Linked DNA regions of Nothobranchius furzeri. The protein of the gene in region 1 purifies or fractionates together with the protein of each later gene. This does not show direct contact. Links are inferred from orthologs where the notes say so. Each region holds a gene or a part of one and is shown in the gene's direction. Other genes may lie near its edges.

Evidence for each region. The genes of interacting proteins can lie anywhere in the genome.
Region 2: the proteins of stk3 (region 1) and rassf6 purify together in Homo sapiens (affinity purification with mass spectrometry; 4 studies listed by BioGRID and IntAct, counting the BioPlex papers as one, with this or other methods). This does not show direct contact. The link is inferred for Nothobranchius furzeri from reciprocal best matches to the Homo sapiens genes STK3 and RASSF6.
Region 3: the proteins of stk3 (region 1) and map1b purify together in Homo sapiens (affinity purification with mass spectrometry; 4 studies listed by BioGRID and IntAct, with this or other methods). This does not show direct contact. The link is inferred for Nothobranchius furzeri from reciprocal best matches to the Homo sapiens genes STK3 and MAP1B.
Region 4: the proteins of stk3 (region 1) and vapal purify together in Homo sapiens (affinity purification with mass spectrometry; 4 studies listed by BioGRID and IntAct, counting the BioPlex papers as one, with this or other methods). This does not show direct contact. The link is inferred for Nothobranchius furzeri from reciprocal best matches to the Homo sapiens genes STK3 and VAPA.

What each region holds. Positions count from the first base shown.
Region 1 is NC_091759.1:1,437,563-1,445,052, reverse strand, and holds the start of stk3 (serine/threonine-protein kinase 3), read left to right. Parts: upstream 1-3,198; 5' UTR 3,199-3,349; coding exon 3,350-3,372; intron 3,373-4,063; coding exon 4,064-4,144; intron 4,145-4,233; coding exon 4,234-4,362; intron 4,363-4,459; coding exon 4,460-4,574; intron 4,575-4,663; coding exon 4,664-4,828; intron 4,829-4,922; coding exon 4,923-5,090; intron 5,091-5,170; coding exon 5,171-5,308; intron 5,309-5,391; coding exon 5,392-5,517; intron 5,518-5,592; coding exon 5,593-5,791; intron 5,792-7,490. Other genes in the region: polr2k (DNA-directed RNA polymerases I, II, and III subunit RPABC4), read right to left, coding at 1,940-1,962, 2,064-2,156, 2,412-2,472. UniProt on the Homo sapiens protein: Stress-activated, pro-apoptotic kinase which, following caspase-cleavage, enters the nucleus and induces chromatin condensation followed by internucleosomal DNA fragmentation.
Region 2 is NC_091746.1:44,753,527-44,761,228, reverse strand, and holds the start of rassf6 (ras association domain-containing protein 6), read left to right. Parts: upstream 1-2,637; 5' UTR 2,638-2,772; intron 2,773-4,415; 5' UTR 4,416-4,416; coding exon 4,417-4,460; intron 4,461-6,079; exon of another isoform or gene 6,080-6,210; intron 6,211-6,483; coding exon 6,484-6,543; intron 6,544-6,650; coding exon 6,651-6,729; intron 6,730-7,702.
Region 3 is NC_091746.1:61,701,009-61,708,546, forward strand, and holds the start of map1b (microtubule-associated protein 1B), read left to right. Parts: upstream 1-2,473; 5' UTR 2,474-2,622; coding exon 2,623-2,806; intron 2,807-4,002; coding exon 4,003-4,104; intron 4,105-7,538. UniProt on the Homo sapiens protein: Facilitates tyrosination of alpha-tubulin in neuronal microtubules. Phosphorylated MAP1B is required for proper microtubule dynamics and plays a role in the cytoskeletal changes that accompany neuronal differentiation and neurite extension.
Region 4 is NC_091751.1:42,859,138-42,866,570, forward strand, and holds the start of vapal (VAMP (vesicle-associated membrane protein)-associated protein A, like), read left to right. Parts: upstream 1-2,368; 5' UTR 2,369-2,464; coding exon 2,465-2,522; intron 2,523-7,433. UniProt on the Homo sapiens protein: Endoplasmic reticulum (ER)-anchored protein that mediates the formation of contact sites between the ER and endosomes via interaction with FFAT motif-containing proteins such as STARD3 or WDR44.

The sequences.
Region 1 (7,490 bases):
AGCAATTCGCTCTCAGACTGCAGGTCTACTGGTGGTTCCAAGAATATCTAAAATTAGGATGGGAGGCAGATCTTTTAGTTATCAGGCTCCTCTCCTGTGGAACCAGCTTCCAGCTTTAGTCCGTGAGGCAGACACTTTGTCTACTTTTAAGAATAGGCTTAAAACATTTTTATTTGATAGGGCCTATGGTTAAAATCTGATGTTAGCCTAAATCTGGACAATTGGGGGAGTAGAGGGAGGTGGAGTGTACAGTCGGTAAAGACGGCTCTCCCTTGCCCTGACTCCAACATGCCTCCAACTAAATAGGATAGATTATCCAGAGTTATCTCTGTAGTTATGCTGCTATTGGCTTAGACTGCTGGAGGATACACTGACCACTTTTCACACTCGACTACTTTCTTCTACAATCTGCTCTTTAACTGCATTATTTTCTGCAATTTCAGCTGTTAACTTTATTTTCTCTGTAAGTGTTTTTCTCCCCAGAAGAAGCTACAACAATGTTCTGCTGAGCTGTGGTGGCCTCATGGAGGGGGCCATCGACTAGCACACTGCTGCTAACCACTAAAACATTATCCCTCTCCTGATAATAACTTTTTGCTTTCCTTGACGTGCGATGTGCTAATACTAGTTTATCCGTTTAATTATAGATCCACTAGAACAAACACAATAAAGTTTATCTTTCACCAAATAGAATATTTACTAAGACATCACAATATAACTATAGACACATTACTTGTCTTTGTGTGTGCGCGTGTGTGAGTATGCGTGCGCACGTGTGTGTGTGTGTGTGTCTTTGTGTGTGCGCGTGTGTGAGTATGTGTGCGCACGTGTGTGTGTGTGTGTGTGTGTGTGTGTCTGCTCTGTCTTCTCGATCCCCAGTGAGTCGTGGAGGATGCCTGCTTACACTGAGCCAGGATTCTCTGGAGGTTTCTTCCTGTTAAAAGGGAGTTTTCCTCCCCACTGTCGCTTTATGCTTGCTTAGTATGAGGATTGCTGTATAGTCACTGACACTAGTCAGTGACTTGATGCAATTTGCTTGGTTCCTTATATAGGAAACATTATTTCTGATTGGCTTAATGAACTGACCTGGATTGGTATGTTTATTATGTGAAGTGCCTTGAGACGACTCTTGTCGTGATTTGGCGCTACATAAATAAACTTGAATTGAATTGAATTTGTAAAAGCTAACAAAAACCTTTTCTTCACTTAAATATTTTTGAGTCAAACGTTTTTGAGAAACTGATTTTCTTTCCACATTTTATTTAGACACTTTTTTTACAATCTTCTTCGTAACTAAATATTCTTGTTACTAATTTCTTCTCTTGCATGTTTGATTAAAACAAGTCTCACTTAGAAATGAGACCCCATAATTTAACAAGATTATGAAAATTTTAAAATAAACACGACAACGTGCTCTCAGATAAACAAACCAAAAAACATTGGTGAATCTGTGAATTGTTGGCCAGCAGATGAGAATTTTCCTTCTTAGAGAAATGTGGTTAAAACTTTGAATTTAAATCCTAAAGGTTGATTTTTATTTCAGGAATGACTGTGGATCATATCTATTTAGCAGATGTGTTAAACTAACTGAAGAGTTTTCATCCTGTTAATGTTGCTGGCCACAAAGGATTTTAAAAGAAAACAGTCAAATCAAACTGATTTTTCTAAAATAAAACTTTTATGCATCATTATTATTTACTAAAATAACATAAGGAACACCTGACACAAACCGCGGATGCCAAAAACCAAAAAGGCTGAATTTATCTTGCTGCTCTAAGATGTTTCAGCAAGAAGTGCAATTTAGGAATGCCACGACCCGAATGAGCGAGAATCTACACCAACATGAAAGCTGAAGCCCCAGTTTATGTTTATTTACAAGGTCAGACTCAATAAAAACAGAAAACAACAACTAAAGATCAATCTGCAGCTCCACTCCTCTTCATCGTGCATCAAAAACAACCACTGGAATCAATGAGTCAAGGAAAATAAGCACACACACACACACACACACACACACACACACACACACACACACACACACGAGAGAGAGAGAGAAAGGATACATCTCTTTGTTCTCTTCTTGTACATGATTCTGTAGCCACATTCTCTGCATCTGATCGGGTCGCGGGCCTTTATTTCGTTTTCAGTGTGACACTCTGCATAAAAAAAAAATATATACATTTATAAAGACATATAAATGTATTTCAGAACTGCTGCAAAATTAATTTAGAACAGTATAATTGTGCAAACACATTAACAATCGACGTTTACATGCTGTCAGGCTAAAATGGAATATTTACTAATAAGAAATATGTTTTAATTAGTCATAACTAGTATTTTTCTGATGACTTTTCTATATTTCGTGAATAAAACCATCAAGAATTGCAATGATAGTTGCTTCATCAGCAAACCTCCACAAATGTAGATCATTGGTTGCTGCTTGGGCGGCTGTAGATCTTTCTGTGTGTCCATTTTGTTCTATAAAAGACAGAAATGTAAACATTTCATCAACAACCCTTCTTCTTGTTAGCATGCTAACAGAAACAGCATGGTGCTCCGGACATTAGCTCAAAACTGCATAAACGTCTCTGAATTTGGTGAAACTGTATACGCACAGAGCACAAATTAAACCGTGTACATGCATTTAGTTAATTACTGATGAAAGGAAGCGAAATGACTCACCGTTTAACTGCGTAATTTGGGAAATGTTTACTGTTTTCACACACTAAACCATCCGCTTTTACGATTGGGTTTCTGCGCTTGCGTCAAATTTCTTCTTCTTGGTTTTACAGGACGATCGACACGCTTTACGTGCCTTTACTGTCACCCAGCGGTTTTGAGGCATTGTGAATTATTCGAAACACATCTGAACTGATTTTAAAAATTGGAAGCAAAGAATTTTTTTTTGTATATTTTATACTAAAAATGTTCCTGTCTTGACACAACATCCTCTTGAAAGCAAATCCACAACACGGGTGTTTCATTTTTCAATTACCGTTACGCTACAAATTCTGGCTTAATTTAGTATTCTTTTGGGACCTTATGAATAAATTAGACTTTATTTAGAGTTTTTGTTTTTGACTCGAGCCAAACATTGTCAATCTGATTCGTAATTGTGTTTTTGTAAAATAAAACAATGTAAAGTGCGCTTCCGTCCCGACAGGGGGCGCTGTCGCAGCGTCGAACACAAGAATGTCCATCATTTGAAGAGCTCCCCCCAGCTGGCCCTCCTCCACTAGTTTGTGACAACAACGAATCTGCCGACAATGTCCACGTCTTGACTACCACTGACAAACCCGCGCTCTCTTTTTCATACTTTGTTTGACTTTTGTTTCCGAGTTGGTGTACCATGGAGCCGTCCGCGCCTAAAAGGTTTGTGAACGTTTGCTTTGAGACCTCTGCTTTACCACCAGGCTAATGTAGGCGGTAGCTCAGGATGCTAATGCTAAGCGAATTCAGTTCTCTCAAACTTTCCACAGAGATAAACAAGCAGAAAGTAAAAACACAAAACCGGTTAAAACCTCCATTGAGATTATGGTTTGTTTAATTGTTTAGACGTTTTTGGATTTCGCGTCGTTGGGGGTGATTTCATTGTCGCTTCAAAAATATATAATAAATTAAATGTGTATTAAGGAAAATCATAATTTATTCGAAGTAACTGTTTACTTTATTTTGGACCGATCTATTTACTGGTTAGCTTAAGCTAGCACCTTTTAAGTTAATTAAATTTAAAATGTATTTAAATTTTATAAGACAGTAGGATTAAATTGTTTATTATCTGTTTAATTTGTGTACATTGATACTAGGTTGCATTAAATCCAGATTATGATCAAAGACCAAAAATATCTCAAAATTTTTTTAAACAGTATTTTTATCTAGATTTCATCAATTATTTTCATCATTCCTCTTAAGTTATAAACACACACTCAAGTTCTCCTACAGAAAGTAATGTTTACTCTATAAAATAAACTTTGATGTGCATATATAAAGAAATATTGTGTCTTTCTTCCATTATTAAAGAGACATTGTGTTAAATACACAATATTTTTGCTGAATTTTTCAGCAAGCTGAAAAAGCTGAGCGAGGACAGCTTGACCAAGCAGCCGGAGGAGGTGTTTGATGTTTTAGAGAAACTTGGTGAAGGGTGAGATGTTTTAACTTGATCTAATTACTGTGTAAATCATAGTTTATTTAGTAGTTTCACTTAAAAGATGCATTTCTTTGTGTAATCAGCTCCTATGGCAGTGTATTTAAAGCCATTCATAAAGAGTCAGGGCAGGTGGTGGCCATCAAGCAGGTTCCTGTGGAGTCTGACCTGCAGGAAATCATCAAGGAGATCTCCATCATGCAGCAGTGTGACAGGTGACACCCCAACTTTCTTTAATTCTAATGAATGAGACTGTCCAAAGTCGCCTTTGCACCAGTTTTTTAGAACCACGTTTGTTTGCCTTCCTCTTAGCCCGTATGTTGTGAAATACTACGGCAGCTACTTTAAAAACACAGATCTGTGGATAGTCATGGAGTACTGCGGAGCCGGCTCTGTTTCTGACATCATCAGGCTGAGAAACAAAACGGTGCGCGTTTCTAAAAAGTTACAGCTTGGCTCATAAAATAGGTTAAATTGCTGATTTACTTTTGTATTTTCCTTTTTTTCCCACGTCAGCTGACAGAAGAGGAGATTGCCACCATCCTCAAGTCAACACTGAAGGGTCTCGAGTATCTTCACTTCATGAGAAAGATCCACCGCGACATCAAGGCGGGAAACATCCTTCTCAACACCGAGGGGCACGCCAAACTGGCTGACTTTGGCGTTGCAGGACAGCTTACGGTAACACTGTCGCCAAATGTTTGCAGCAATGCACTGATGCCAGCTTCAGTCGATCTCTGGCTGAATTTTGATGGTATGTGTTTAATGTCTGAAGGACACGATGGCAAAGAGGAACACTGTGATTGGGACGCCATTTTGGATGGCCCCAGAAGTGATCCAGGAGATCGGCTACAACTGTGTTGCAGACATCTGGTCTCTGGGTATCACATCCATAGAAATGGCTGAGGGTAAACCTCCCTACGCTGACATCCATCCTATGAGGGTGCGTATTCTTTAGTTTTTAATGAATTTAGGGTTTTAAAAGAAAACATTTGACACTTTCCCACTTTTGATTTCCCACAGGCCATCTTTATGATCCCCACCAACCCCCCTCCTACGTTTCGGAAGCCGGAGCTTTGGTCAGACGATTTCACAGACTTTGTAAAGAAGTGTTTGGTTAAAAACCCAGAGCAGAGAGCAACTGCAACTCAGTTACTACAGGTTGGAGCAAGAAGGTCTTCATCTGTACAATCCTGCTTCCAATCTGAGCGATTTAATTTCCTTTTCCTGTTGTGGAAACGCAGCATCCGTTCATCAGCCAGGCCAAGCCGGTCACGATCCTGAGAGATCTGATCACTGAAGCCATGGAGATGAAGGCGAAGAGGCAGCAGGAGCAGCAGAGAGAGCTAGAGGAGGAAGAGGACAACTCTGTACGTTTTGTTCACGTGCATTAACCAATAAAGTTCCAGTAAAACGTTTATACTGCAGGGGTTTGTCTCCTATAGGAGGACGAGACGGAGGTGGACTCTCACACCATGGTGAAGTCTGGAACCGAGGGCGCGGGGACCATGCGAGCCACCAGCACCATGAGCGACGGGGCACAGACCATGATTGAGCACAGCACCATGCTGGAGTCGGACCTGGGCACCATGGTCATTAATAGTGATGATGAAAACGAGGAGGAAGCCCAGAGATCCATGAGACGTGAGCACATATTTGAGAGAATGAGGGGGAATTTAAACATCTCTTTCACTTTGCTGCGTGAACTTGGCTTTTAACTTTGGTTTAAATGGATGGTGTCGGAAAAACTGGCTTCTTTCCAAAGAGGAAGAAGTGTTAAAACCATGCCCTCGTGACTGCTGATGCTACAAACGTGCTCTTTCACGTCAACCTTTTTGTTTTCCCACTTCACTATAAAGCAGCTCTTTGTCTGCTCTGACCTTCCGTTTTCCCTGAGGCAAACCAAAGCTTTGGGGAAAAAATTCAACACAAGCTCAATCTGCAACAGTCTCAAATTTTTGACATGCAGGATGGAAGCTGGCAGCAGCAAAATTTAGATGCATGTCTGCAAATTTGTTCAGGGCTCCAACTTGGAGTCAGGTTGGAAATGTGGGCAACTCGCAGCCTAAAGGTCTGTGCCGTCTCCAGAATGCTATGCTTAATCACGTGTGGTCGCAAGCCCTATTGGCATGTTCCAACCAACTTCAAGTTCAGCATTATATAGACACTGGCCATGATCATGTTAACTACAGAACAAAGTTAGCCACAGCTATGCTACTTGAGCTAACACTAGCACCACCCTAAACTACTGCCAACACTATCCCGAGCTACAGCCAATGCTATTCCAAGATACTGCTAACACTATCCTGAGCAACTGTCAACGTTGGCCTGAGCTACTGCCAATGCTAGCCCAAGCTGCTGCCAATGCTAGCCTGAGCTACTGCCAATGCTAGCCCAAGCTGCTGCCAATGCTAGCCTGAGCTACTGCCAATGCTAGCCCAAGCTGCTGCCAATGCTAGCCTGAACTACTGCCAATGCTAGCCCAAGCAGCTGCCAATGCTAGCCTGAGCTACTGCCAATGCTAGCCCGAGCTGCTGCCAATGCTAGCCTGAGCTGCTGCCGACGCTAGCCCGAGCTACTGCCGACGCTAGCCCGAGCTACTGCCGACGCTAGCCCGAGCTACTGCCGACGCTAGCCCGAGCTACTGCCGACGCTAGCCCGAGCTACTGCCGACGCTAGCCCGAGCTGCTGCCGACGCTAGCCCGAGCTGCTGCCGACGCTAGCCCGAGCTGCTGCCAAAGCTAGCCCGAGCTGCTGCCAACGCTAGCCCGAGCTGCTGCCAACGCTAGCCCCAGCTGCTGCCAACGCTAGCCCCAGCTACTGCCAGTGCTAGCCTGAGCTACTGCCAGTGCTAGCCCGAGCTACTGCCAGTGCTAGCCCGAGCTACTGCCAACGCTAGCCCGAGTTGCCACCAAAGCTAGCCCAAGCTGCTGCCAACGCTAGCCCGAGCTGCTGCCAACGCTAACCTAAACTACAGCTGATGAAAAATTCATGTCCTGGTTGAGTGGGTGGGGCAAACCAGTCTTTCCATTGTTGGGCTTTATTATGGGGTGTTATTGGTCACTTATTGCTCCTGTGCCATTTTGAGCTCCAACTGTTTCCAATAGTAAAAACAAAGTTTTTGTAGAACCCCATGATAAAAAGACTAAATATTTGCTCATAAGTTTTCCCAAAAGGCCATTTTATCTTCATAATGTCATCAGATAATATCACAGCTAAAATAGTTGTTTCTGCTGTGGCGTTCCTTTGTATTTCTGTGTAAAACGACCACGCTGAGAGAAAAGTAGAAGCAAAATGTGTTTTTTCTCCTCGGATTAAAAAAAAATCTGCAATTCTGTAAGAT
Region 2 (7,702 bases), on another chromosome or scaffold:
ACTTATCCCCTGCCTCCCCCTGCTGACCGAATCACAACCACACTTACGATCAAGGTTTATCTATGCTTGGTAAATTAAATTAGATTATCATAAAACATTTTAGATTTACAGTATTTTTCAAATTTCTCTGCGTCTGAGCATCAGGTCGACCTCTTCACTGTCTGGTTTTAAATCTCTTTTGAAAACCTATTTTCATGATTTGGCTTTTAAATCAGCATGAGAGTCTTTTTAGTGTTTTATCAGTGTTAGTTATTAAGCTTTAGTTTTTATGCATTTTTATGTTGTGTATATTTTTTATCTGTGAAGCACTTTGGTCGGTTTTATACCGTTGTAAGGTGCTATACAAATAATGTTCCCTTGCCGTTATTCAGGCACAACTTTTTTAAGCCGTTTATTTTGCCCCAAAGACTTTCAAAATACATATTCCTGTTGCTTCAAAGTGGTTTGTGATCCAACTTATACATTATTATTGTTATTATTATTATTATTATTGTTGTTGTTGTTGTTGCTGTTAATTATTATTATTTAATTATTAACAGTGTAGCCAATCGCTATGTTTCACATGACATTGCATCTACATCACCAAATGCAGATGGGGGTCAGGAAGTAGCCACAGGTGTTGTGCCATAAATCGACTCGCTGCCAAAAAATGATTAGCCACTAAAGAAAGGAAGGGGAAAAAATCAAATCGCTGGAGAATTGTTTATTTACATTTATACAACGTTTACATTCAATACAGGGCGCCATTTTACATTGTTTATTTATTTTTTAGTATCAAGGCTGTAACATAAAGAAAGCCAGTTCTTACCACAAACCATCTTTCAATCGCAAATATTGCAAAAAGGATTAATATATCCTCATTGTGAACGTTTAAGACAAATAGCAACACTTAAAACAACTTCCGAACTGGACAAAACTAAGCTAATCATTTTTTGGCAGTGAGTCGATTTATGGCACAACACCGGCACTGCAGAACACTATTTACTTTGGTGACACAGTGTTAAAAAGCCAAATTTCTAAGCGGTCTATGGTTATTACAGTCACTCTAATCGGGACAAAGACAAACATTTTTTTCAAGTCCCAAATGTAGGGCGCCACAAAGGACTCGATTAAAAAAAAGACATACTGAAAGAAGACAGCAGAAGTGGATCAGTCATCAATGGCTTAAAACAGGAGCTGAAACGGAAAATGCTGGAGTTTACAGCAATCCCTTTCTAACAGGTAAGAGATTGTGGAGTGTTTTATTAAACGGTTGCTTAGAAACAGCCACAAAACGACAGCTTAACCGTTTTATAATGTTTTTGTGTGTCCTCACTGCAAATAGCAGAGTGCTAATGCTCTAGGCAGTTAATTGAGTGTTGTAACGTGGCATTTATACTTTATTGAAATCAAACAAATGTACCAGAAATTTGGATTTAAAAAGGTATAAAAAGTTAGTTACAAGTAGATCCTAGCACATACTGATTGTTAGCATTAGCGATAGCATTATTATCATGAAATAATGAAAAAATCAGCTGTGAAAATCCAAAAACCTTTTACACCTGAGACTGTAATACTTTTTACACATGCTATTCAAATAAAATTTGGCCAATATCTTTAAGAATGTGAATAGGTGTAGCTGTTGTTGTGTACCTGTGAAAGATAGACATTTTCTCTGTGACTTCATAAAATGGCACAGATAATGTATAAAGCACAAAATAACTTGCTTTGCTGCAGTACTCAGAAGCTGTTCAAAGTCAGACAGAGTCAATATGACTTAAGGGGAACAGAATTCTTTAACAAAAATAAGATAAGGACAACTGTAAAGCAGAGATGTGTTTCTGTTAGATGAGTCAACCTGTGGAATAGCTATGACAGTGATTTAAAAAGATGTAGTTCATTGTCCTTGTTTAAAAATATGTTTAAAAATAGAATATTAGAAAAATATATAAACCAAGAATGAAAAGAGCAAAAATAATACTGAACCTCTTGATTGTTTTGCTTTGATGTAGTTACTTATCTAAGGTGTACATTTTTTGTTTTGTTTGTTTGTTTTGCTTGTTTGTTTGTTTGTTTTGTTTTGTTTTATTCTCAGCATGCAGCTCCAGGAGCTTCATGCAAAAAGATCTTTCTTAAAAGGGTTGGCGTAATAAGCAAATGCTTCAGCCAATACCTTTTGATTAGCCTTGTTTTGTGTTTCTTGCTTTGTGGTAATCTTTATTCTGTATTCATTGGAATATTTGAATGCTAATCAATAAAAATCAAATCAATCAAATCAAATCAACCAAGTTCCCGGTGAAAAAAACACAAAGACATTTGCACCACATAAATATCCATTTTGTGGTATGTAGTGCTCTATGTTGGCTATGTGAGCCCTTTTTCTACCTCTAATTTTGCAGCTGAATGCACACCAGCATGCTTCTGTCATGTGTGGCTCATAATGTCTTTCTTTCTTCACACACACACACACACACACACACACACACACACACACACACACACACACACACACACACACACACACACACACACACACACACACACACACACACACACACACATTCTGAAGGCAAGTCATATCTGGTGTCAGTCAGCCACTCCCTCTAAACGCTGTCTCAACGTGTTTTGCAATAATTAACCAGCTGCTGCGGTGTTGCTGCAAAGGCTCACCTCCCGCCACACGAACTATACACCAGACCTTTGAACACAGTCACTCAGATTCATAAACAAGACTCGAAACATGTAATGGACCTGCAACAATTTAATAGGAGATCTAAAGGCTGAACTGCACAGGTAGGAAGAAGCGTTCCTCTGACAATCAAATTAGAAGGCTTTAGCTGGAGCTACTACCACTACGTACACCTATTGTTTTCTATAAAAAAGAATCAAACATTTTCATCTTAAACTACTGACAAATGTTTGCCAAATTCATTGTCAATGTGTCATTTATTTTGTAATTTTAAAAGTTTATCTCACAATTGACATTTATTATGGCTGGAGTTCCATCGTGATTTTGTTCCCTCGGACAAAGTGTCTAGGTTTGAAACCTGTAGACCCAAATAAAATCAGATCAGAATGTGCAATCAAGAAATCGTAAATGTGCCATGAGGACGGGGTATAACAGAAAGACAAATCTATGAAGAAGGGAAAAGGAAGGTCATAAAGTCAGAGACTGGGTGCGTACTGGTTGAGTGTGTCATTATCCACGTAAAGACTTGAACATCATCTTTAAAAGGCAACAACAAAGCACCATAGGACCAGTTAGTGCAACATCAACAACTGCTTTCTGAAATGTTTGCTTTAAAATAACTTCTAAAATCAGTTTAAATTAGCAGAAAGTTGAAGTATTTGGTTGGTTAATTATTTATTGTAATAATTAATGCATTAATACTTCTAATTACTAATTAACTGACACTTTTGACAGCGAATCTAATTCTGTTTAATTCCTTTTGAACGGAGCCAGAAAATGTATTTATTGTTTGAGCAGAACAGTTGAGTTTGTGGGTTTTAACCAACAACGATAATGCCAAAAATTCTCTGCCAAACAATGTTTTCTGCTTGTTTGGTGTCATTTATTTGATTGTATGGCTGAAGTTCCAGGAGACAAGATTTACTTGTAATCTAACAGCATGTGGAAGAGCCGAGTGCAGCCACAACAGGCCTGGTACCATTTCCTCATGCTGGTCACCAGTTTAAATTTGCATTTGCTACCAAAACACAAAAATGTTCTTGCATGAATGGTCCAGTGGCAAACCAAAATGTGGGGGTTTTGTTTGCTTTTCATAAAAGAGCTTGAGATCTTTTCAGTCAGTGTTCTAAAAATGAACACACCTCAGTGAGTATGTTGATTGGCTACATTTAGAGCTCAAGGTGTTTCCTTTATCAAAAGGCTTTTCTGACGTCATGACTCAGGTAGCCATTTTTCTCATGCATGATATGGAAATCTGAAGCGCACACGCACACACACACACACACACACACACACACACACACACACACACACACACACACACGCACAAAGGCTAAGTACATTAACTCGATGTTAGGTGTGCATCAATCCAAGTCTCAAGACTCAAGACTCAAGACAACTTTATTAGTCCCCGAGGGGCAATTCGAGACAGCATTGTGAAGCAGCCGGCACTAAAATCTCTAAATTCTAAAAACACATCCAAATTACACATTTGTAAAACCCATAAAAACCTATATACACAATCATGTCATAAACTCACATGTGAATGACCAACAATGATTAAAACTTTGGCTCACACACACACACACACACACACACACACACACACACACACACACACACACACACACACACGTAACTACATGCACACACACATACAAGTAATGCACACTCCCCCTATCTGCACTGAGAATTAAGAAGAAGCACAGCTCTGGGAACAAAGGAACTTCTCCTCTGTGTTTTACAGCATGGGCATCGAAGTCGGCGTTTGGAGGGCAGCCACTCGAAAACAGTATGAAGAGGGTGTGATGGGTCTTTAATGATTTTCTGTATGACCGTCTGTATGACCGGGACAGGTCTGTTCAGGAATCCACTTACAGGAAGTTGTTCCACAGAACAACCAGTTTGAACAGCTGCAGATATGGAATGCAGCTCTCAATAATTCATCTGAGCTTCTCTTTCAAATCTGACTGTTAGTTCCTAAAAAAGCCCACAGTGCTCATTGTGTTTGGCCTGTCGTATTTTGTTTGGCAGATTACCAAAGGAGATGAATAACAAATAAAAAATAGATTAATGTCAACTAAAATAATGTAAATATACAGATGACTTGGTGCCTCAGCAGTTATTCATATTGTGAGTTTGTATCTTGAGGAATGTCTTTAAATCTTAATATGTAGGGCAAAATAAACATTTTAATAAACTTAAAAATAACTAAAAAGTAAAACAATACAGTGGTAAATGTTTTGCAGATTTTAAAAGGGAAAAAAAATACTTAATTTGAAATTACATTAAAAGCAGTATTTTTGTGTTGGAGTAAGACCTTATCAACAGATGCCCATTAGGGTCAAAAAGCTCTGAGGAGTGCAAACTTTAGCAAAATAACAAGAACATCAGACTCCCCTTCACCACTGGCAACATGTGAGCAGGTGAATGTGTAAAACAATAACATTGAGTGATGCAAGTTTTGTAACCATTTGTATAGTAATATGGCGTCGCCCAGACCAGATTTTTATGGTTATATGTTACAAAGCCGCCAATTTTTTTCTGCAACTGGGCACCAATTCATTAATTTTCAACAACATTTTGATGGATATTTGCAGAAAGTAATGGTAGAAACTACATATTGTCTCTTTAAACTAGCAACAGTCACGGTGATGTGGTGTAAAACTATACCCTTAAATGTATGGACTGCTCCCTAGTGCCAGGAAACTACACACTGCCGCTGGACACTTAATTAACAATAATGGCAACTTTAACAAAAGGATCCTTTGTTTATTAATGCTTAATAATGCACTGTGTAACATTAATAAAATGATTCTTATTGTAAAATGTCAAATAAACCTTTAATTTCCATGTACTGACTTGCAAATTTGGTTCCTTAAAGGGTGACTTAAACATGCTTATGTCAATATAGCACACTGTATATAATTTTATTGATGCAATATTGATCTAAAATGTTGCTTTCTTTCAAAAAACATGTTGCTTTTTCTACATTATCTAAGAATTGCTGCACTGAAATCTGTATTTTGCACTTTTCTGCACTTCTTTATTCATCCTATTAAACAAAAGAAACGTCAGTCAAAGGGGAGTGGAGAAGGTTTTATAATTATGACTGTTGAATATTTGAGATGTTTTTAACCAGCAAACAGGCTGAGGCAAAACAAGATGAAAGAAACTGTCAGTCATGTGGACTGCTTGTTTTCAGACGGCTGCCACATTCACAACAATTCAGAAATACCAATGATCAGTCGAACACAGAATAGAGAGCAGCGATTTCCAGTCACAGCTTTCAGCGACTCTGACCATAATGTAAACAAATCTACGCTGTCATCACTGGTTACTGGGTGGAGTACTGTTATTAAATCTCTTGGAGACGAGCAGGGGAAAAAAAAGAAAGTGAAAGAGAGAAGCAACGGCTGCAGAGAGAAGAATAAATATAACAAAAACTTCAGAAGCACAGAAGGAATGAAGGTATTTAAAGCTTAGAAGAAAGAAATAGACAAAGACGCTGAATTCACAGGAAAATCTTCACGTTTGAGCTGGTAAGACTCTTATTTCCGTGGTTATGTTTGGAAGTAGTAACACCGTGTTGGTGATAAATCCATTTTCAGTGGCCGTCTTTGTTTGCGGTTATGCAGGAGAGTCTTTATTTAGCAGCGTGAGCAGCAGCATGGCCTTTGGACTCATCTGCTCAAGGCTGCAGTGTTTGTGTTCTGGCTTCATTGTTTCATGACTAGCCATGCCTGCTTTCCTTTTGTAGCTATGTGTACTAAAAAGAGGTGTTTACTCCTTAATTGTTGTCTTTTCCTCTGCAGTAGCAGAACAGAGATGAACGCAGCATTCATCCAAACAGGAAATGGGAGGATCCTCACCAGGTTTTGATTTTTTCTTTTGCCAATGCTTTTAGCTCTTATCTGAATTAAAAGTTTATGTTTCATCTTGCTTCTTTGTTGTTGCCTTGTTTAACATTTCTGTATTTTAGAGCAACGTTTCTGTCTCTGGTGAACACCTACAACTGCTTCCTAAAGGACCAGACTCAGCTGCATCTCACCTATTCTCAGGTATGCCTGAGATTTCTTTCAAATCTGTTTTTCATTTATTATCCAGTACTGTAGAAGGGCACAAGGTGGGCCATATTTGTTGTGTTGATGTCAGTGTGGGTGTGCTTGTTTGTTAAATATCCCATGAACAACTGTTTAACTCCAACTGGTTACCTTTTGATGTCAGTCTGATTCAAGATGGCCACCACAGCTAATCAGCATTCCCAAACACAAAATGGCTGCAAGAGTATTACAAGTGTTAAGCTAAAATTTCACACCTTGAGAGTCTTCCACATGTTCTCTAAGAGCTATATGTTTTACGTATTATTTACCTAAAGGTGTGGAACACTGACAAACCAATTTTTAATGATTATTTCTGATACTAATCGGCCACGCTGAGGTTTTCATGCACGCTGAGCATGAAAATAGTCTCCTACACATATTACCTGCATTAGCTTCTGATAGAAAATAGTCGATGAAACCCCAGAATTGGAAAAGCCCGACCTATCTACTTCAAGCAGTCGCTTGGACTTGCCCATTTTGGCTCGTGACGGGGATTGCTGTCGTTGTTTTAGCATCCAGGAGACAGCAGAATGCGTCTCAGCTAGCAAAAGTTAATCGTTAGCATTAGCAACTCAGAAGCTTCTCCAGGCTTGTGTTATTGGTGGAGATAAAACATCCATGTCGCAGAGCAAACAGAGTCAGTGTTAGAATTCCATTGCTGTTATCCAATCCAAGGCAAGATGTCCAAATATCAGGAAATAAACCTCCACATCCTGCCGTGTTGTACCACTCTGCTGCAGCAGAGCGATTCAGGTATTTCTGGGCTTTTCGGACCCTGAGTACAGCTTGCAAGGCATTCATTCCTACCAGAGACCACTGCAAATATGTTGATTAAACAAGTGTTCTACACCTTTAAGATCTTTGCATTCACTCATTTGGAGTTACCCTTCCTCTTCTTCCGTCACTCGCAGAGTACAGACGCTTCTGCTTT
Region 3 (7,538 bases), on another chromosome or scaffold:
ACACATGCAAGCAAAAAACCCTCACAGTCGTGTCCATCAAGCACCCCCCACCCCAAAAACAACACCAACCCCCTCCTCCACACTCATCCGTCTCCTCCTTGTCTGTATCTGAGACCTCCGGTGGCACTTTGTTGTATTTTTAATGCCTTCTTCTTTTCCGGTGGTGTATAATAAATGTTTGATACAGCCTCCCGTGGCCTTGGGAGAAAGCGACCAAACCCTGCCCACCAGGCCACATGAGCCCTGAAATATTCACATTCAGCAGCCCAGAGAGTCAATAACGCACCAGTGGTGACCCCCATCCATCCTCTGTCACATCAATAAGGACCGCCACGGGGAAATCCTGGCTCAGATTCAAGATTTGTGTGCACGTTTTTATGTGTTTATACCTGCAACCATTTAACTGCTGATGAGTTCATGAAAAGGTGTGTTAGGATATTTTGCTGTGACTCCCACCTTCAGCCTGACTGCTGCTGTGAAGAAGCTCAACCCCTAACAAGAGAACAACCAGCAGGACCTACAAACGAAACAACGAGCCTCGGGCAAAAATTCATCCTCCCATCTCCACAAATCCCAAACCCATGCCACAACCCAGAGGACCCACAGGCCCAGAAACCTCAGGACTCTCCCGATGTGCCTTCATCAGTCAGAGCCAGAGCAGGTGGTCTGCGTGTTGCGCTTTATCGCTACACACATCTGTTTTGTTGAATCTCAACAGATGTGAAACCTGTGTTGTTTCACTGAAGCACTAGAATCTCCTCCTGGGAAGAAGAACTTTAATGTTTACATCAAAGGAAATCACACTTCCACTCAGCTAATGCACGGCAGTGGAAGCTTGTGATCTCAGTCCTTTTCATTTCCTGTTGGTTTGTAGTTGACCATCTTTAACCTCCTCTCTGATCAGCTCTTTTGTTTTGTGAAGACTTCCTGTGACCAAAGAGTCCCTCAGAGCTTCCTGTTGGAATATTTAACAACAGATTATTGGAACAGGGACGTGAAATCAGGTGTAAATGAAGGATTCTATAAAAAGAGACGTCAGTTTTCTGTTTTATTGTCATTGCTACATTTTACTCTGATTGATTGATTGATTGATTGATTGATTGATTGATTGATTGATTGATTGATTGATTGACATGGGGATCAACTTGGTGTTGGTGGGTAGGGGGTACACGCTATAACCCGTAAGGCTGATGTTGTTTTAGTGTCCAGGAGAGAGCAGAGCACGTGTGAGCTGGTAGAAGCTAACCATTAGCATTAGCAGCTCAACAACATGGCTTAACTCCTTCAGGCTTGTGTCATATTTGGAAATAAACGTTGCAGATTTAACAGAGTTGGTGGAAGCCTGGCGTTGCTGTTAGCCAACCAGAGGTGAGATGTTTGAATATCAAATGAATGACTAAGATTCCAAATCCTGCCTCTTTCTGATCCCTCCTACTCCGGCTAAAGGAGCACAGTACATTTCTCCACAGAAAACAACTAACAAGTCATTCATTTATACTAGAGACTACTGCTGTTGCCTTGCAGCAAGAAGGTCCTGTGTTCAAATCCCAATTTGGGATCTTTCTGTATGGAGTTTGCATGTTCTCCCTGTGCAAGCGTGGGTTCTCTTCATGTACTCCAGCTTTCTCCCACAGTCCAAAAACATGACTGTCAGGTTGATTGGTTCCTCTAAATAGCCCTTTTGTGTGTGTGTGTGTGTGTGTGTGTGTGTGTGTGTGTGTGTGTGTGTGTGCTTGTTTGTTTGTTTGTTCTGTGTGTTTCTGTGTTGCCCTGCCATGGACTGGCCTGTCCAGGGTGTGCCCCTCCTGCTTGCCCAAAGACTGTTGGAGATAGGCACCAGCCCCCTGTGACCTTGTCTGGACAAGCAATGGATGGACCACTGCGAATGTGTTGGAAAAAAAAAACATGTTAATGACAGCTTTAGCTACTGTGGCACTACATTGTAGCTTATTATCTGCAAATGTATTGCCATTTTATGTGGTATGATATTGAGTAACTATGGTGGCCATCTTGAATTTGATTAGATCCAGAAGGTGCATTGAGTCGTTTCTTCCTGTGTGTTTCATAAAGTGGTTCATGAGATTTCTAGTCCGACAGAAAAACCAAACACACATGCAAAAACATTATGGCTCACCTTTTGTATTTCGTTGGTAATGTGATTATAAAACTCAAAGGACACATAAAACGGTGTCATAAACTATATTTCTCACAATGCAGTTTCTGAACGTGTTTCAGTCCTCCCTTGCTCAGTTAGGTTTTTAAAACACGTTAACTTTTGTTCAAAACTTGTTCCAATTTAACCCAAAATAATAATTTCAAGTTTTGTTTCTTTGTTAAAATGTTGATGTGAGGGAAAAGTGATGGGAGTGCAGCCTAAAAGCATCCCTCCTCTGACTTCCGGAGGCGTCGCCGATGACATCAGCTGTTGAATGAGTGTGTGCGCCCTGGTCTCTCCCTGGTAACCGAGCATGACACAATGTCTGCCGGTATAAAACGCTAGGGCTACTCCTATCACCGCTCCACTCGCATGTCTGGACTCTTGGAGGGGAGGAGGCAGAGTTCTGCTGCTGTTGGGAACCTAAAACGCGTCTGAGCGAGGAAGAGGAGACAGACAGACTCGGCATGGCCACGCTAGTGGAATCTGCAGACATGGAGACTTTAGGCATCCACAGCCACACCGGGACGTCTCCCACCTCCTCCAGCCCCCCTCAGCACTTCAACGACAGCAAATTCTACCTGCTGGTGGTGATCGGGGAGATCGTAACAGAGGATCACCTCAAGTGTGCCATTGCAGACATAGAGAAAGGTGGTGGAGCTTTATTTATGTATTTATTTGGGGTGGGTGGTGGTGGTGTGTGTGGGGGGTGGGGGTGGGGGGGGGGAGTAGTTAGGTCTTAAAGCCGTAAAGTGAATCTTTATGGCTTTTAAAATTAGGGTCACACCTGTTCGCTTTTACGCACGGCGCAATTACGCACAGATTATCGATGGGTTATTCTCAGTTTACTTACTGCATCTTCTTGTTTTCTCTTGTCATCCTCACGTGTGAAGGGGTGATTCTGCACCTGTTTGGTGCCATTGTTGGCGCATTTCTGCGCGTTTTCTGTGATGATCCATTACAGACAGATTCAGGCGCGTCAGGCTTTTGTTATAAAGTCTGGAGGAGACAGCGAGGGGGATGTGCGTGTGCGCTTTGTGTTCTCATTTCAGATTAAAATTTCTCATCCGCTTTGACGGATCTGTTTTAAAATCAATTCCCTGATCATCCACACCATCCTCCCGCATCCAGCTCTCTCATCCCTCACCGGCTTGTGGGCGTGGCCCTGTCCGCACTGCGGTCCCTACGGAAACCCGCGAGGACCTATCTTCAGGCTGAGCAGGGCGTTCAGAGCTGCTGCTGCTGCCTGCAGGCCAGAAAGCACTTTGTTAGAAAGCAGCGAGAAGATTGTGGCGCAGTAGCTGTGTGGATGTAAAGGAGAGTCAATTTAGCACAAAAACTGAATGAAGGTTACGGGTTTATAAACTAATATTTAACATATATAATTTTCTTGAATGTTAGCTTATAAAACAAATTCAAACTAATCTTTTGATCTTTGAATCTTTGGACTTTTTGCTTTATATTTATGAACGAAATGATTGCAATCTGTTTTGGGTGCAGTGTACTGGACAAAAGTACGCACGTTCCTCCTTAGAAAAAAATATATTTTTTGTGTCTCATTGGGCCACCACTAAGCATTTAAACTGCATAAATGTGGAGAGGGTGTATGATGACTCAGGAAAATGATGACCGTCAGGCTCAAGCAGCGATATAGATATTTCCTAGTATAGATTTTCCTTTTGCTTACATCAAATCAGTAACAAGTCTAGACATGTTTATTCTAAGGTCTTCCAATGAACCAGAACCAGAGGACAAATTGTGTGTGTGTGTGTGTGTGTGTGTGTGTGTGTGTGTGTGTGTGTGTGTGTGTGTGTGTGTGTGTGTGTGTGTGTGTGTGTGTGTTGCAGGGATCCGCTCATGGGACACCAACCTCATTGACTGCAACCTGGACCAGGAGCTGAAGTTGTTTGTCTCCAGACACTCGGCGCGTTTCTCTGCAGACGTCAAAGGTAATGGGAGTACAAGATGGCCGCTCTGATCATTTCAATTGGGGACAGATTTACAGGGGAGGGAAACAATTGAAACTCTGACTTTGAGATCAACTGATGTGGGGTTTTATCACCGATACCAGCTGACAGGTGCTGCTTTTTTTGCGTCACCTTTCATGACTGACATTTTGACATTTTTCTGTCTTTTTCACCTGCTAAAATGTCACTAATAACTGCTGATGCACAACATTTCTGCCCGATCAGTTTTTGGTCTCTGAATAACCAGCTGTTGAATCTTAATTATGTGCTCTGCATTAAAATCCAACTTTTAACCAAAGTTCATTAAACAAATCAATGAACTGACCACGCATTAAATAAACAAAACAAGTGAATAAAAAGTCAGTTAACAATATTGTTTTGAGCATTTATTAAGCAGACTTTTAGTTTTTTTCAGGAACATAAATGTATGTACTGCTTCAGCACCAGACTGCCCACGGCTGTGCCTGACTTAAAAACCGCTACATACATATATAAGATAAGATATATAAAATCAACGGTAAATATCAGCCGTCTGAGGGCGTGGGAGCATTTTTTTTCTTTTTTTGCGCTGTTAGGGTACATTTGTTGTCAGATGGTAAATGGCCTGTATTTGATATAGCGCCTTCAAGAGTCCTGGAACCCCCAAGGTGTTTTACAACACAATCAGTCATTCACTCATTCACATGCTGGTGGTGATGAGCTACGCTGTAGCCACAGCTGCCCTGAGGCATACTGACACTGTCTGTTGCAGTCGTGTGACTTGTGTTCTAGATTTGCCTCGAGGATTTAAGTTCCTAATTTCCTTTAAAGGCATTTTATGAAACTTTTTCATGTTTTAAATTGTTTTCTTAAGCCAGTATGTGCTAAAATGACCCTACAGGGTTAATGAAATATCATTCAGAGCCCCACTGCCCTCTGTGGCCAGAATATTGCACTTGCAACTTCAGAGAGCCCGTCCAGTGCCTGTTGGACAAAGTATAAGTGGTGCTGGCATGCCAAAGCTGCAGTCTGCTTCCAGCACGTTTCCTGCATGTTTTAGATCATTAACACAGCTGATTTGTTTGATTTAGTGATGAATCACTCCTGTAGACACTAAGGAAGACTGAGGAGTTGTTTCAGCTTTTAGATTGAGGTATTAAAAAGACGAACGCACAGCGAGGAGATAAGGTTTGCGTTTGGTTATTCTAAACAGACACTAGGGGGTGCTAAAAGCAAGCCACAACTGCTTAGTATCCCTTTAACATTTGTTTGGTCAGTAGTTTGACTCATTTCTTCTACTTATTTGAGGTTTTGGTTGTACACCTCAGAAAGGTGGGCAGTCTATTTGCCTGTCAGGGTGTGTGTTCCTTACCAAAACATCTTATGAACCACTGGACAAATATAAATCTTTCAAAAAGTCTTTGTTGGATTTTCATCTGCCTCTCAGCAACGTTCTAACATTGTATAGCTATAAATATATTGTGAAGATTAAAAGAATTAAACAAAAAATAAATTAAGCAAGCTCAGCCAATAACACGGCTTGGTTCGAAACCAATTATTGGATCATCCGGTTGTTGTCTAACTGGACAACCGCCTTTCCCTCCTCCACTCATTACGCTCTCGCGTAGTTAGCAACAGAACGCCACTGGTGTGAGCGGTTCTCCGCTCAATTATATCAGAGAAGGAGCAACAGCCGGCTGCTACCACTTCAAATTTAGGACAAACGATCAGATTTGTAAATAGTTTGGACTTAAGAAACGGCAAATGGTGTTTAGCACTTTCTCGTTTGTTCTGGCAAGGTGGGTTTCCCGTTCCAGCAGACATGACCTAGGGATGATACCCAACAGGAGGGGTGTGTTCTGTGACCGTGTTAGCATTTAAAGGCTAGCTTGTTGGCAGATTTGCAGCTTTTAGATGGCTAATCAGCACTATTGGTTTGTCATTTTGGTCCTTTTGAAACTTTAGATGTTTTGTTTAAAACCTGCGGGTGAAAGGTGTTGAGCAGCAGGCAAAACCTTTATTCTAATTTTTTGAATGATTTTTGTTAATGTTACAAAAATTAGTCCATAGATTAAATGCATTGTTTGTGTAAGTTTATTTTTTATTTTTTTTTCACTTGGATAGTTTATCTGACTACTGCTCTGGGAGTGAGAGTTGGTTGCACAAGCTTTCATCATTTTAATGGACTTAAAAAGTGCCAGTCTCTCTTTTGGCTGGCTAAGCCATTGAGATCAGCACATTAAAGGTGCGGCGTTTCCGCTCACTCTAAATCGACTCAACTACTTGTAAGAAACTCTGTAGAGTTCTGTTAAATGAGCCACATCATGCTACTTTAAATCTTTGAGAGCAAATATTGGCACAGCATGTATTAAAATATTACCTTTGGCACTACTGAGATGTTATTTATCTTAAATATGATTTATTATGGTCAGCCTGAATTTTAACCCTGAAATGAATTAGTTTGTTTCAGTGAAGCTCCGCCCACACCCGCTCCGACAAAATGGACCTACATCAGCGTTTAGGCAAGTCTGCTGTTCTGTTGGCCTCGGTAGTCCAGGGGTTAAAGCAATTGTGCTCTCGGTTCTGGTTCCACCGCTCTGGAAGGAGTTGTTTTTGAGCATTAGGTAGGCGCCATATGCTTCTGATTTTTACGTCTCACTTGGAGACTCGTTTTTATGTGATGGCGTTTCAGCATTAGAGATCCCAGCATTGCCATTATCTTTTATTGTTTATTTTTTATCTTGTTTAACGTATTTTTATGATTGTTTCCTGTTTTTTCGATGTTCTCTTAATATTTTATGACTGTTTTTATTTTTAATCTTTCTTTTTAAAGTTCCACGACACAATATTTGTTGGTATCACGTGTTTTGTGGTTGTTCAGCACCTTGGTCTGCTGATAAGGGGCTTTATAAAAAAAAAAGAAGCTAAACTCAACTGAATTGCCTTTCATCTTGTTTTGCCATGAGCTGACGCCGGTTCGACTCTCGGCTTCAGCAGTAATTTATTTAGCCAGCTGAAGCAGATTTGATTTTTTATATTTTAGTTATTTATTATTTTCTGCCAGTATTTTGTCTCTAAACATCTTTGAATTACCGTAGGTCATTTCCAAGCAGCATTTTAGTTGATTTACTCTGCTCACCTGACATGGACTCACACTGGTCAGTAAACTGATTTGTTTGATTAACTTTAGTTAGATGTCTGATTCCAACATTGAGCAAGATTAAGATTTAACAGTTGAATGAATTCAGAGTTCAAAAATGGATGCGGCTTCAGAACGTTTGTGCATCAACCGATATCATTAGTGACATTTTCACATCTTAATAAGGTGGAAAACATCTAGATATCGGCCCAAAACATCAGCAGCACATATCGGCCATCAGCTGGCCGCGACCTCTACGTATCAACATCGGTATCAACAATAGACAAAACAATATCAG
Region 4 (7,433 bases), on another chromosome or scaffold:
TTTCTATCTGAATGTGCTGCAAAGTCAAACAACTTATTTTTTTTATCAATTTGTGGGATGTAATAATGAAATCTCTTATTTATAGTAAAATACTTTATAAACGCCCATCTATGCTGATGTTAGTGTGGACAGTTTACACCAAAATCCATTCATTAATTAGCCAAACTGTGTTTCTTCACTTGGAAAACGTTCAACACAAACCTCTGGAAGCGAGATTGGCAGTGACCTTTCGCTCGTGGTTTTCTAGACTCATCAGATTTTATTCTGAGTAAATGTCAGACTTGTGACTACGGTGTTTCCCCGATGTCTAACAGTTATTCCCCTAAAGCGATACGTGAAAGTCACCTAAAAGCTGAATGTTACACTTATGGACATGCTCCTTTGTTAAAATGCTGTTTAGATTCACACATGTGTCTTTTTTATTGTTTCTTAAAAATGTATGACATGGCTAAAAGTGAATATCAGCTTTTGGTGCAGTCTGACGGTACCCATATCTTTAAAAGTGCCTATAGTTTCCATTTAACCTCATTTGTATGCAAGTATTTGTTCTCATGTATTCTGTGTAGAAGTCACTGACATTGTAATAAAATTATAATCGTACTCTTTCTTCTAGTTTTCATCATGCCTTTATTTTTGAAGGACATAAATTAGAGGCATGTCTAAAAAGATTACAATCCTATCTAATTGATAAAGCAATATGCCAAAGATAAAATGACGGTGCATCAGCAGCCAGTACAAATTTTATTAATGAAATAAAACCCCTTTTCTAACTATCACGTAGATCTTTAAAACTACGATAATCAGGTGACATAACAAATTAATGGAAATTTCAACTCATTTGGATTAAATTGTAGCCAAATTCAAATATATCAGCAATATTAAAGCGTCGAGGAAATCATAGTTTATCATTTTGAATTGAAAAATGCATATTTTTATTTTAAGAAGTCCTAGAGTGATTTATTTTGAAATAAAATCTAGTGATGCCCAAACCAGAAACTAAAATAGCCAAGATAATAGTAAAAATCTAGGATATTTTTAGTAATTACTTTTACAAAAAATATTTTGACCTGCTCAACAACACAATAAACATGTAATATTAAAGCTTTAATTAAAAAAAGTTGCATTTATGAGACATTAACGCTAAAAGCTTTATTGTTATATGTGCAGTAAGCAGCTGAACGATGAAATTCCTACTTTGCTGCCCCCGCTGGATGCTGAGAGTATAACTGAGGTCTAAAATAAACAAGATAGATGCTAAATACAATAAAACAAACATTTTTATTGTGTTGAAATGACAGCCCACCTACTGTATGTTTGTGCAAGTGGAATAAAGTGTCCAGACAGTAAAGGGATCTTGTGTTTGCATTAGTAAAACAAAAACATTACATTTGATAAATAGATTTTCTTGGTCTTAAACGCATACTAGGCAACTTTATGATTTGTAATAATTTTCATGAGCCAGTATGTGTTAAAATGACCCTTTACAGGGTTCATGAAATGTCACACAGACCCCCACCACTCTCTGAGGCCAGTGTACTGCAGTTGCAACTTCAGAGTGCAGTTTGGTCATTTGGACTAGACTGCAGAGAGAGATTTGGACCTGGAAAAAAAAACTGAGCTGACATACCTGGCGCTGTAATCTGCTGCCAGCATTTTTCCTGTATGTATTAGATCATGAACACAGCTGACATGTTTGATTTAGTGATGCATTACTGCTGTAGACACTAATGAAGGCTGGGGAGACATTTCAGCTCTTAGATGGTGTTAAAACGACGAACGCACAGCGAGGAGATAAGTTTTGCTTTTGGTTCTACTAAACGGACACTAAGGGGTGATTAAAGCAAGTCAAAACTGCCTCTTCCTTTAAAAATAATTATCGCAATAAAATAATTTAGTAGAACTTTAATAACAGTTTTCAAAAAAATTAATTTATTGGAAATGTTGTTAGGCCTTTTATCAGTAAAAAAAGTTTTTTATTTTTATTTTTTTTGAAAATACAAAGGGCAAAAATCACCCGGAGACCTGCTGGACACACATTGGACACCCCTGTTTTACTGGTTAAAATATATTTTTATTTTTTCCCTATTCTGTTGACTTTTCGTTTGTGTTATGTCTGTTTTTGGCTTATTTGTCACAAAATAGAAAAATCTGAAACAAAAATAATGAATTTAGACTTGTTATTTTACTCTTTCACAAAACTGCACCACATCACAATCATCCGCAACCTCGCGTTCACCTTTGTGCGGGTCAAATCAGGACTGTTGTGCAGTTTTATCAGATGTTCTTCCCTCTAAACATGTCAGTGTTTAATGATTTTAGTGCAGGATTATCTTATTTGTTAGAGAGCCACGAGGACGCGGCGCGCGCCGCGGAGGGCTGAGCTCTCGCGCGGTGATTCGGTGAAGTATTTGTACGCAGATGCGCCTTTCAGGACCAGAAGTCACTCAGCGTTTGACTCGCTAAAATGTCCAAGCCGGATCAGGTTTTAATCTTAGACCCTCCCTGCGACCTCAAATTTAAAGGTAGGGAAACGAAAATGTCTATTTGGATGGTTAGGCTCGTTTGAGCAGAACTGTTAACCCACCTGGATGGATTTTTTTCACACTCCGGCTGTTAGCATTCACCGCCATTTTAAGTTAGCCAGGGAAAGGATAGGCCGTTGGAGCCTCGAGCTGTGGTGACGTGGATATCCGGCGATGAGAACGTCTAGGCGGCCTACCGCTCCCGGCCAGCTCGTAAAGAAGCGTTATGGTTCTGAGCTGCGGTTTTAAAATTGCATTAAAACAAGATGTTTTGTGGTTTGTTTGCGGGTTTATTCACTTTAGGCGTAACGTTTTTACTATGCTAGTGCCGCCAATGTTGGCAGCAGAAAAAGAGTTGTTTTCTGGCAGACTTAGCGTTAAATTCATTGCTAATTAAGTGGACATTGATGAACATTGTGGCAGCTCAATGACTTGAGGAAAAAGCTTTTTAATGACGGTCTGTTAGTAACTGAATGAGAAACTCAGCTGAGAAAGTAACTATGTACTTTTAGTAGAAATGTCCTTATTGAACAGTTTATATTAAACCTATAGACTCTTAGGAGACTTTTCATATGTTATGGACAAAAACATGGATGCAAGCACACGTTTATAGTCAGGCTAACACTGATTTTGTTTCTTGGCAGTGATAAAGAGTGATGTGTCAGCTCGCTGTAGGTTATCTAACCTGCTAAAGTTGGTGTGTAGCTTGGTTCATTACCTGCTCTTTAAACAATCTGTGACATAATTAACAATTTAAAGGAAACTTAAGACTTTCTTTTAAACCAACTGTTGCTCCAAACAAGTTCACAGGGTGACAGAAGACTGCTCTGCCTAATTCTGTGCAGTCCATAATCCCTGGTAAATTTTAAATACTTCTTCTCTATCCTTATCATTTACGGTGCTCATTTATCCTCCTGACCTAGAATTCTCCTGCTTTTTGTAATTGTCCCATTTTCTACGCTCTCAGGCATCATTGTCACCATCATACTTTTTCATAGTATAAATAGGCATGTAAAAATGAAGTTTAATACTTTAATTTAGTCATTTTCAGACAGTTAAAACTGCACCCCTGTTTGTTTACTAATGAATGCAGTCACAACCTGTTGTGATTTTTCAATTACTACTAACCAAAGAACATCTGAGTGAGTATTATGTGTTGATTTGACAGGATTTTATTCAAAGGTCACCATTTCTAAAAACAGAGCCAAAAGATAGCCTCTGAATGGGGTTCAGTTATAAAAATAATTCTGTCCCTGATGATATCACAGGGTGTGAAAAAGCAGGACTATGTCACATTCACTTAGCAAACTTGTCAATGATTGTGTTAATGTAAAATAAAGCTTCTCAACTCCTCGAGGAAGCTTTTCAGAACTAAATTGTCAGAAAAATATGCTGTAAATTGATTATATTTGAATAACTTCATTGACTTAATTACAACAAAGCGTTTTATCTGATGCTTTGTTTAATCCACATGACTGTGTCTTGTTATTATTGTCGCATAACATGTTTTTCAGAACATTGTTCCTAAAGGAAGGTGAAAGACAGAAAATCAACCAACATAAAGTGACATTTTGATGATTGCTTTTTCACAGCTCATGATATGATCGGATATGGAATAGACTGTGACTTCTGGTGAGGTTTGATGTTGTTAAAAACCTGTATTAAAGTTCTCGTTAACTGGGAAACTGTAATACTTGTTTTTCAAATGTGATCATTAACTCCTTGAGTTTCACATGTAGGCTGACTGTGAAAGATTTTCTCCAAGCCCCATTGCCTGTATTAGCTGCAGAAAAGAAACAAATGGAGAATCATTCAGGTCAGAAAAAGCCAGGCTCTTCTATGACTACGTTTACATGCAGCCAATATCCGGGTTATGATCGGGTTAAGGTCGGCATTCGGGTTTCTGAGTTGATCAGAATAACCCGTTTACAAGCACAAATAGAAAGAGTTACCCCTAACTTGCATAACCCGATGTAAATGCGGAGGTTGGGGTAGCGTCAGGACGTGTGGACTACGTCCAGACGCAATATGCGTCATTTCCGGTTCTTCTCGTTCCGGTATCCGTGAAAACAACAACATTTTTCCCAGTTCGGAAGAGATAGCGACCGCGTTTGTTTGCGCTTTAGTTTCCTCGTCACTCCGAAAGTGTGGTGCTGTGCCGCGACTCGCCATTTTGCTCCCAACTTGTTTACTTCCGGTGTTCTGGCGCATACAAGACGTCTTGCTACTCAAAAGACCAAGATTCCTTGCGAACAGAGCATGCGCAGAACACACGCTTTGATGTGGATATCCCGATATGCGTTTACACGACCAAACATTCTGGTTAGAAAAGGGTTACCCCAGGTGTAGTAACCGGGTTTTTAAAAACCCGGTTATGAGCATATCCGGGTTTCTGGCGGTGTTTACACGGACCTGCGGAACCGGGTTATTGTGAATATTCGGGTTTTAAAAGGGTTACTGGATGCATGTAAACGCACTGTATGTCGCAGGGAAAATTTGCATTCATGGTAGGGCTGGATGATATAGAAAAACAGTATATCGATAACAATAATTTTATATTGATCGATATAGATAATTATTGAAAAATATTTTAAAAAATTGTAGAAAATATATTTTACTGGCCCTGGCCAATTTATTTTTGGTATTTTTAATTATTTCTCCACCTCTCGCTGAGACATCTTACTCTATTTGGCTTGAGAAGGGGAGGGCCTGGTGACGTAGCGTGCCTGAGTCTGTGGTTTTGATTGGTTAGGAGTAAGTAGTGAGTCTAGTATGCTGCTACCTGATAGATTATAATGAAAAAGGGAATTATTGTCCAGCTCTAATTCATGGCCCCACCTACTTTGATTTGCAGCGGCGGGCGAAGGCTATATTCATTTTGGCCGCCAGGAGAGAACAGCAAATGTCTCGGCTAGTAGAAACGAACCATTAGCTATTACACAATAAGGTGGAACACATTCAGGCTTGTGATTTGCAGAGATAACACATCTACGTTGCTTTTATTTACTCAAGAAAGAAGCGCGAGATTTACGTGTCATGAGTAAGACTCATATTCCTGTCATTTTGCACCCTCCCCACTCCTCCAACTAACCACTACATTTAAAACAGGAGTTTTTCTCCACAGAATAATCTCACAAGGTATTCATTTATACCAGAGAACACTGTAGATTTGTTGAAAAAGCAAGTGAATGAGAGCTTTAACAGTGCCATGAAAGACTTAAATGTTTTTTGAGCAAAGCCTTGCATAGATATCAGATGGTGTATCTATTGGAGGGGTGGTGTGTGTGTGTGTGTGTGGGGGGGGGGGGGTGCAAGTGAAAGGCTTGTTAGAAAGCTTTCCACCTGTCTGAAAACACTTTTGCTGAAGCAAATACACAATGCTGAATAGAAGATTTTAATTTAGGGATGCACAGAAATGAAAACTCTTGGCTGAAACAGAAAATGAGGAAAACATGGCCGAAAACCGAAATACCCCCTTCACCCCCACCCCGTCTGGAGATTCCCAACAGAGAAAAGATGAGCGGAGCACACAGAGGGCAAATATTATATATTAGAGGAGAAACTTACAATACTGACAGGTCTGTTCATTGTTGACGAAGCTCTTTGTCTGATAATGGCTGACTCAGATTCTGAAGAGTAACATTCACCCTCTGATGAAGATATTCACTCGTCCAGTGAGGAAGAAGGTGACACTGCAGTAGCAACAGAGTCCGTGTGCTTCATCAGAGTAAACACGCTTTACACACATCATCCAAAGCTTATTTCTCCATGTTCAGGACATGGTGGGTGTAGAAAGGATGGTAAAAACTAGAGCTGCACGATATTAGGAAAAAAGTGCTTAATAATGCGATATCGATATTACGATAAATGAACAAATACTAAAGTATGCAGTGTTGATGTCGTCTGGCATGTGACGTCTGCTCTGGGTTGAAAGCAAACAAAAACTAATGCATGAATTCCATTACAACATAACATTTTTATTGTAAAAATATGCAGCTGCACCTGCTACTGTATTAGCAGCAAAACAACAAACTGCATGCATGCAGTTTCTCAGTGACTTTAAAACATCACCTCCACCATAAAACTTTTTCTGATGCTCAAAATACAGAAAAACATCCCATACCAGGGTTTTTGAATAAATAAAAAAATCTGAAAATTATTTTAAATGTTAAATAATAGTTAACATCACTTAAATGCAACAGCAAATTCTCTCATTGCTACTGAGCCTTTTCTCCACTTATGTGGTTATGATATGATAAGGCTGTTGCTGCTATTGGGAAGTGAACTGTGCTGGACCAAACTATCCAATCCAATCCAATTTTATTTATAAAGCGCATTCACAAGGCATTACAACCAAACAAGGCGCTGTACACTAAAAATGTTGGTTAATTAAACAGGCGTTATATAAACATGTCGAACACAGATAAAAGATAAAAAGGAAATACAAGAAAATTCCCAAAAATAACAGCTAAAAATCATTAAGACACAGGGTGAAGTAAAAATAGGAAAAAAAAAACATAGATTGTAAAAAAAACTAGGAGAATATTAAGATTTTCTGAGGCAAAGACAATTGTCTACCTTTCAGAAGAGGAACTGGCAAAAAAAAACTACATGGAAAATATGTGAAAACATTTGGTTTTAACCCCAAATTGAACAAGTTTAGCTAGATCTTAAAAAGCAGCTCAGATGATGAAACTGCAACTATGATTCTGTTAACAAGCTAACAAATTGAACTAGCTCCTCTAAGATAACCAGCTAGCAGAGCTTCTGACTGACAGTTTATGTGCAGCAGCAAATCAACTATCCTGATTAACAAGGTTATAAAAGCTCATAAATGAAAAATCACTTTGATGTGTGGGGTAGGGCTGTAGCGAAGCCTCGACGAAGTCGACGGCTCGATTCTAAAAATTT